2 linked regions of the Nothobranchius furzeri genome follow. The protein of the gene in region 1 purifies or fractionates together with the protein of each later gene. This does not show direct contact. Links are inferred from orthologs where the notes say so. Each region holds a gene or a part of one and is shown in the gene's direction. Other genes may lie near its edges.

Region 1 (4,252 bases):
ACCTCACCTCTGTCATACTACTCCAGGGCAGCTGTGGCTGTGATGTACCATCACCCACATAATGTGAATGAATGATGGATTTTCTGTAAAGTGCCTTGCGTGTCTAGAAAATCTCTATAATTCATTATTATTATCCATTCATCCATTGCCTATATCCACTTGTCCATGCAGGGTTTCAGGAGGCTGGTGCCTATCTCTAGCAATCTCTTGGCAAACAGGCAGCTTACACCCTGGAAAAGTTGCCAGTCCATTGCAGGGCAACACAGAGACACACAGAACAAACAACAAAGCACACACACTAAAGTGACAGTGTGTATTTTTCCTGGCGATAGGGGGCACTAGATAACTAAATTGTTGCAAGCAAGCTGTAGACGTTTCTCAATGTCAAGGCGCCTGGCCTTGCGAGGCAATATCTTGCGAGGCCAGGTGCCTTGCTTACGAGGACACTGTCCTTCATTGGTCAAAGAAAAGGGTTAAATGGAACAGACTTGCATCACGTGACCGCGGCTTCCACGGCAGAACCATAACGTCACGTGACACAGGAGACAACGTTATATTTTACATGTATAAGTTACAATATAAATATATAACGAGACTTTTACTTTTTAAATTGTGTATATATTTGTTAAATTAAAAATATAAGTGAGTTACTACCCGCTAGCCACCGAAGCTGCAACTACTAAGCAACTAACCAACCATAGATAACTTCTTTGGATCTAAAAAAGCATTTTAAATTAGTTGTCTTACTTTTAAACATGAAATTTGCTTCCGAAGTAGCTGCCAGCTTCTGATCCACCGTCCTTTTGAAAATACTGGGGTGTATTCTGGGCAATTTTTGACCACGGCTAGGCTACAAGACACCTCCCGTGTATCCTTGCTCAGCTAGCTAAACGGCTAACACATGGAGAACAAACGCCTCGGTAGAACATGAACACTGGAAAATGTCTTGGTGGCTCCTGATGATGTATCTCCTAGGCAACCAGGATGGGGCCAAGACATCAAGGCGAGGTTCCTTGAGAAACATCCTGTATTTTTGTGTTGGAGTAAGACTTTGCAACAGATGCCCATTAGGGTCAAAAAGCCCTGGGGAGTGCAAACTTCAGCAAAATAACAAACACATCAAACTTCCTTTCATCACTGGCAACTAGCAAAGAGGTAAATGTGTAAAACAATGTTTATGAATGGTGAAAGTTTTATAATCATTTGCTACAAATCAGTAAATGCATTTTGTCCTCAAGGGCTCCCATAGAAGGAAACATGGCATCTAATATGGCATCACCCAGAGACACGACCCACTCCCATGTATTTTAGACCTGATTTTTATGGTTTTATGGTAAGAAGTCACCAATATTTTTTCAACAACATTTTGATGGATGTTTCCAGAGATTAACGATACAAACTACACTCTGTTCCTTTAAAGACAATTTAGAGAAATTAATCAACCTGGCAGTCATGTTTTTGGACTGTGGGAAGAAGTCGGAGTATCCAGAGAGAACCCAAGCATGCACAGGGAGAACATGCAAACTCCATACAGAGACCCCAGGTTGGGATTTGAACCCAAGACCTTCTTGCTGCAAGGTAACAGAACTAGTCACTGTGCCGCTGTGCATCCCCATTGTTATTATTATTATTGTTGTTGTTGTTGTTGTTGTTATTATTATCATTATTATTAATAGTGTTATTATTATATTAATGTTGTTGTTTTTATTATTAATACTAATTATTATTCTTATTATTAGTGTTATTGTTATTCTTATTGTTGTTTTTATTAATAATAATAATAATAATAATTATTATTATTATTATTATTATTATTATTAACAATTATTAACAATAATTTATTAATATTTATAATAAAACACATGGTCATGGTTCAACCAGCTATAAGGGGCAATAAAGCTAACAATGAGGTGTATGCAGCATTTTGACCATGGGAACTCATATAAGTCTTATCTTGAATAATGATTGGCTTCTGCTAAAACAAGTTTAGATTAATATATAAAAGTCTAAATTAAACTGGAGTTATGTAAACTTTTCACCACATCTGTATGTTTCACTCACTCGCTGAAACTAAACCAATAAACTGAGAATGTTTGCAGAGCCTGTAAGTAACACACATTGAATGGTAAGTGGTGTTTCAGGCAGGAAGTGTGTCATCCACAAAGCAGCGGACCTCAGTCCAGAAAAACTGGTTTGTGTTTTACTCGACACCTGAAAAAAAATCATCCAAAACCAGGTGTGTGTGTGTGTGTGTGTGTGTGTGTGTGTGTGTGTGTGTGTGTGTGTGTGTGTGTGTGTGTGTGTGTGTGTGTGTGTATCACCAGTTGGTTGAGTTCGAAAGCAAGCAGCTGCCATTTTCTCCTCATATGGTTCCATATCCCCAGTACAGAGGAACCAATTACCACAGGAAACAAATGTTAATGGGGCTCTTGACATTTACCCATAATACTCCCACTTTGCCCCCTGCTGCTGTGTGAAATAACAGTCAGCTTCACAGGGAAGACTGGCAGGATACCATTACAGCAAGACTTCTGCTGGCCTAAAACACAGACGCCTCACTCACTGATCTATATTAAACATGCTGTCTGTACAGCTTAAACACCGGCCTGCATCAGCAGTTTAAACCTGTCTGCTTAATGAAAATCATACATGATAAGAAATGCATTTATTTTGACTGTAAAATAGGAAAAAGAACAATAAAGCCACTCAAAGCTGATCCCTGATTTCCTCAGAATGTTCTTGAAGCTTCTAATGTTGCATTTAAGTGTTACAAAATAAAACACAGCTTCAATATGTGCCACTTATCACAATAAAACCACATAAATGTGTGCAGATTCATCTAAATGTTCCATCTCAGAGCTTCTCTTTTGTCTCAGGTGAGAGAGGGAGATGAAGGTCACGCCACATGTCGCCTTTAACGGCGGCTCTGAGCCCATCCTGGAGGCAGAGCCATCGTTAATTATTTGAAGGAAGGAGGGAACCAATTGAAGCCTTCCTCCTCATCTTTGCTGCTAACCTCGCTTCGTTTGTTGCTGTTTCTCTGTAGCAGACCCTGTTGAAGATCAGAGGGATCTCACTGTAGCTGTCTTTCCTCAGTCTGGTGAGTAGAAACTATCCAGAACAACTGCTGCTTTATGATTTTATTATGTATATTATTAGTCTTACATTGTAAACGAGTCACTCGGCCACTAAAATGCTAAATAATTGTTGTTTTAGGTCATTTCTCTTGTTAATAAGTCTGATTCTGCAGAAATCCTTGCAAAAACAACAGCAGATAATTCAAATGAAAAAATGGAGGCACAGGATTAAGTTAGTAAAGTATCATTTTCTATGTGTAACATGTTAATATTAAGTGCATTTACACCATCAGCAGGTCCTCACCTGCTTTGCTCTCCTTTCTCTGGGGAGGGCTGCTCTGCCTCCGCTCCCCTGCCCTCCGCTGAGACCCTTCCTGCACCTCTTGCAGCTGAGACCCAGGGAGCACAATTAACAAGCAAATTGAAACACACTCTAACTTGTCCCTCATGTGCTTTTAATGCATGCAACGTTTTTATTTTATTCCTGCAAACATAATTGCTCCTGTACAGTTTGCTGCAGGCTGGCTGACTCTAGTGGGACGGCGGAGGATGTCTAACAACATGGCCAAGATCGCTGATGCAAGGAAGACGGTGGAGCAGCTGAAGCTGGAGGTCAACATAGAGAGGATGATGGTGAGTTGATGAAACTCAAATTCAAAACGAGTTAAATTTGTCTTTTACTACAGTTTCTGTTCCAAATTTGCACAAAATGTGCATTTATGTTATCACAGTTTAGAACAAGTGAAATAAAATGGATTTAACGAAGAGTGTCTGCTTTGATTTGAAATAACCCAACGCCTTATCTCGTCCCTTTTGAAGCTCCGATGGTAACACAGCTGTTTTTGTGCAGGTGTCCAAAGCTGCGGCTGAGCTGATGTCCTACTGCGAGTCTCACGCCAAAGAGGACCCTCTGGTGACACCCGTGCCTTCATCAGAGAACCCCTTTCGAGAGAAGAAGCTTTTCTGTGAGATTCTGTGACTGCTGCACCCATTCCAGCTCAAATGTTGTTAATGTTAAAATGAATGTAGATGTTGGTGTGAAATGATCAGCTTTAAACCATGCTAATGATGGCAATAAAGTTTTAATAAGAGATGGGTCAAAGTTCGTTCCAGCACCAACACGATTTACACATTAACCACAATCTCAGCGAACTCCATTTTTCCCTCCAAAGTTT
Region 2 (3,243 bases), on another chromosome or scaffold:
CTGCCCCCGCGACCCGACTCCGGATAAGCGGATGAAAATGGATGGATGGATGGACTTTGACAATCAGCACCCCATTACTCTCGTAGCACCATCATCTTAAGTAAGCATATACCTTTCCTCTCTTTGTCTGATTGTATTAAAGATCCTGACATCCAGTGGTGATGGAACATGTGCATTATGGGATGTTGAGAGTGGGCAGCTGCTGCAGAGTTTCCATGGACATGCAGCAGACGTACTGTGTCTGGACCTGGCTCCGTCTGAGACAGGAAACACTTTTGTTTCAGGGGTGAGCATGCTCTCTGTGCTGCTTATTTAAATGTTGGACGATTTTCATTGCCGGAGTCGCATTAATCTTTCCTGTTTCTGCAGGGCTGCGATAAGAAGGCTAACGTGTGGGACATGCGTTCAGGACAATGCATTCAGTCCTTTGAAACTCATGAATCAGACATAAACAGCGTGCGGTGAGTCACGGTCCTGATCAGAAAAAACGTGATTGCTATTCTGACTGACTTTGTTTTATAATGTAGCCCAATTTTTTTCTAATAGATACTACCCAAGTGGAGATGCTTTTGCATCTGGATCAGATGATGCCACAGTAAGTTAAACTGTTAAACACCTCAAAGGGACATTTTCAAGTAAACTGAAATCGGTTGTTTTTGTTTCAGTGTCGGCTTTATGACTTGAGGGCAGATAGAGAAGTGGCTATTTATTCCAAAGATAGCATCATATTTGGGGTCTCCAGTGTTGATTTCTCACTCAGTGGTATGATATTATTTCCCTTCAATACTACTTTTGAATATATGATCCTCAATATTATTTAAAGGTGTGGTGTACTTGTTTATTCAATACATTTGCAGTGTTCTCTATTATAAATCAATGCCTTATGAGTCATTTAAATTTAAAAAAAGCTATGCTGCTTCTGTTCTGAGATGCAGAAGTTTACTGGTGCAGAGGTGGGCTGAAAACAGCTGGATTGCTCATTATTATTAATGATATGCCCACACCTCAGTTCTGACTGGCTCACAGAACGTGTTCAGCCGTGTTGAAAAGTCACCATCACCAGGACACTCTCCGCTCTCTCTCCTTGTTGGAAAAAAACAACAACAAAACAAACGAAAGCCCTCCTGTGAGTGGGCGCGAGCCAAGATGGGCGAGGCCATGAGTACAAATCCAGTGTGACATAGATATGTGAGGATTTTCAGATCCTAGCATTTCGCTGTATTTTCTATCAGAAGCTGATGCAGGAGGTAGGTGTGAAGACAGTTTTCATGTTCAGCCTGCATGAAAACTCGGAGTGACCGATTTTATAATCAGAAATAATAAAAAAAAAATTTTCAGGGAACCACACGTTTAAATATTGAGGATCTTGGCTCTTTCTTTGCTTACAATTATTACTTTTTAAAGATCGCTGAAAAGATTTGTGTGTATTTTCATTTTAACAGGACGGCTACTGTTTGGTGGGTACAACGACTACACTATAAACGTCTGGGATGTTCTCAAAGGAACACGGGTCTCTATTCTGTTTGGACATGAGAACCGTGTCAGCACGCTGCGTGTCTCTCCCGATGGTACGGCCTTCTGCACAGGATCCTGGGATCACACTCTTCGGGTATGAGACTTTTTTGTAACCTCTGAGATAACTTTTCAAGTTTCAGTGACTTCTGCAGTGATTGCTGCTTTTTCCTTTTTCAGATCTGGGCTTGAGCGTCGAGCCACAGTGACCTAGATGCTGAAGACACACTGATGTTTCTGTTTGCTAGAAAACAATCACAGAGATGGAAACACTTCTTGGATGTAGATAGAGCATTTCAATAGCTTTGTACATACTCCAGTCTCCTGGACAAGGATAGATTTACATGTCAAAGAGTAATTAAACCAAATGGCACGCTTACATTTCATTAAAACTGAAAGAAAATAGCACAGAAATATAGGTGCAACTTTTATTTTAAAAAAATGAAGAAAATATAAATAGTAGTAACTTGCATTGGTCTAGGCTAGAAGTGATTCAGTAAAGTTATTATTACATTTGTCCACTTGAAAGGAAATTAGCTATTTATTTAATTTACACAAGGTAATAAAAAGAGCAAAAGCATTTAGAGAAGGAAGACTAAATAAGTCTGATTATATCACTGATTGGACCTAGAGGGAGGATAGGATAGCCCCTTCTGTGTGAAGTCAACACCATGAAGTTTTAAAAAAGGCACAGAAAATTATATATTTCAGTTTTAAACCAGTTGAGCTGTGGACTAGAGAAATCTCTGGCCTTAAATACAAAAAAAAATCTGCTAATTTGAACTATTATTCAAAGAAACAGACAAAAATGTCACTATTATCAATGATGGTTCACCTGTCATACTTATACTAAGAAGGTAGATAAAAAGTTTTACATTCATGTTGATTTCTATCTTTAGTTATACAAATTGTTCACTTCCTGTTTACTTTTCTGCTGTATAAGAAACCAAAAAGTCTACGAATTCAGTAACAACTGACCACATTATTTATGCATTTATTTATTTTTGTGGTTCCCCTCTTGTGGTTTTACATTTAGGGAGATTAGGAAAATGTAGTCCCTCCTGTGCAGCTTTGATGGCTGTAAAGTTCACATTCACTGTAATTATTTTACTGTAGTTTAGTGTACAGATATCCAAGGGACTGTTATTCAGAATATTACAAACATAATAAACAGAATTTTGAATATTGCTCTTGTGTCTGTCATTCTTTATCTTTATATTACAGAGATTTTTTTATTATCAGGGAAAAAGTCTTGGAGTGAGATTTTATTTATTTAAATTTTGTGTGTGTAGGTGGGGTGGGGGGCGCTTTAGTTGCGGCAGTCTTTTAAAAATGAAATCACAGATCAACAATCCACAAATATGTAATTTTCAATAAAAGCAAATGATACATTAGTCTGTAGCTAGCTGCTAATTGCTCCTGCTTTAGCTCAGTAATTTGATTATGTTGAACGCAGGTAATTAAAATAGATTGATTGAGTTTTAGTGCTGCTAACACTAATTTGAACTCTGTTTTAGTTTTAAGAAGTATGTTTTCTTTTGAAGGAATCTCCAGGAAGTGCTAATGACTAATGCACTGGGTTATAGTTATGAACTTCTTGTAGAAACAAAGTTCGTCCAGCAGAGAGCAGTAAAATTCTCAATCTCGAAAATCAGGTTGAATTATCGTATTCGCATCTAGTTGACCTAATACGGGAAACATTCGTGTCCCGGTGACCCTGATGGCCGTTTC

The links.
Region 2: the proteins of gng8 (region 1) and gnb5a purify together in Homo sapiens (co-immunoprecipitation; 3 studies listed by BioGRID and IntAct, with this or other methods). This does not show direct contact. The link is inferred for Nothobranchius furzeri from reciprocal best matches to the Homo sapiens genes GNG8 and GNB5.

The regions. Positions count from the first base shown.
Region 1 is NC_091750.1:45,718,314-45,722,565, forward strand, and holds gng8 (guanine nucleotide-binding protein G(I)/G(S)/G(O) subunit gamma-8), read left to right. Parts: upstream 1-1,448; 5' UTR 1,449-1,578; intron 1,579-3,046; 5' UTR 3,047-3,100; intron 3,101-3,587; 5' UTR 3,588-3,626; coding exon 3,627-3,710; intron 3,711-3,927; coding exon 3,928-4,056; 3' UTR 4,057-4,168; downstream 4,169-4,252. UniProt on the Homo sapiens protein: Guanine nucleotide-binding proteins (G proteins) are involved as a modulator or transducer in various transmembrane signaling systems.
Region 2 is NC_091744.1:64,508,523-64,511,765, forward strand, and holds the end of gnb5a (guanine nucleotide-binding protein subunit beta-5a), read left to right. Parts: intron 1-142; coding exon 143-286; intron 287-369; coding exon 370-461; intron 462-546; coding exon 547-595; intron 596-665; coding exon 666-762; intron 763-1,442; coding exon 1,443-1,609; intron 1,610-1,692; coding exon 1,693-1,704; 3' UTR 1,705-2,700; downstream 2,701-3,243. UniProt on the Homo sapiens protein: Enhances GTPase-activating protein (GAP) activity of regulator of G protein signaling (RGS) proteins, such as RGS7 and RGS9, hence involved in the termination of the signaling initiated by the G protein coupled receptors (GPCRs) by accelerating the GTP hydrolysis on the G-alpha subunits, thereby promoting their inactivation.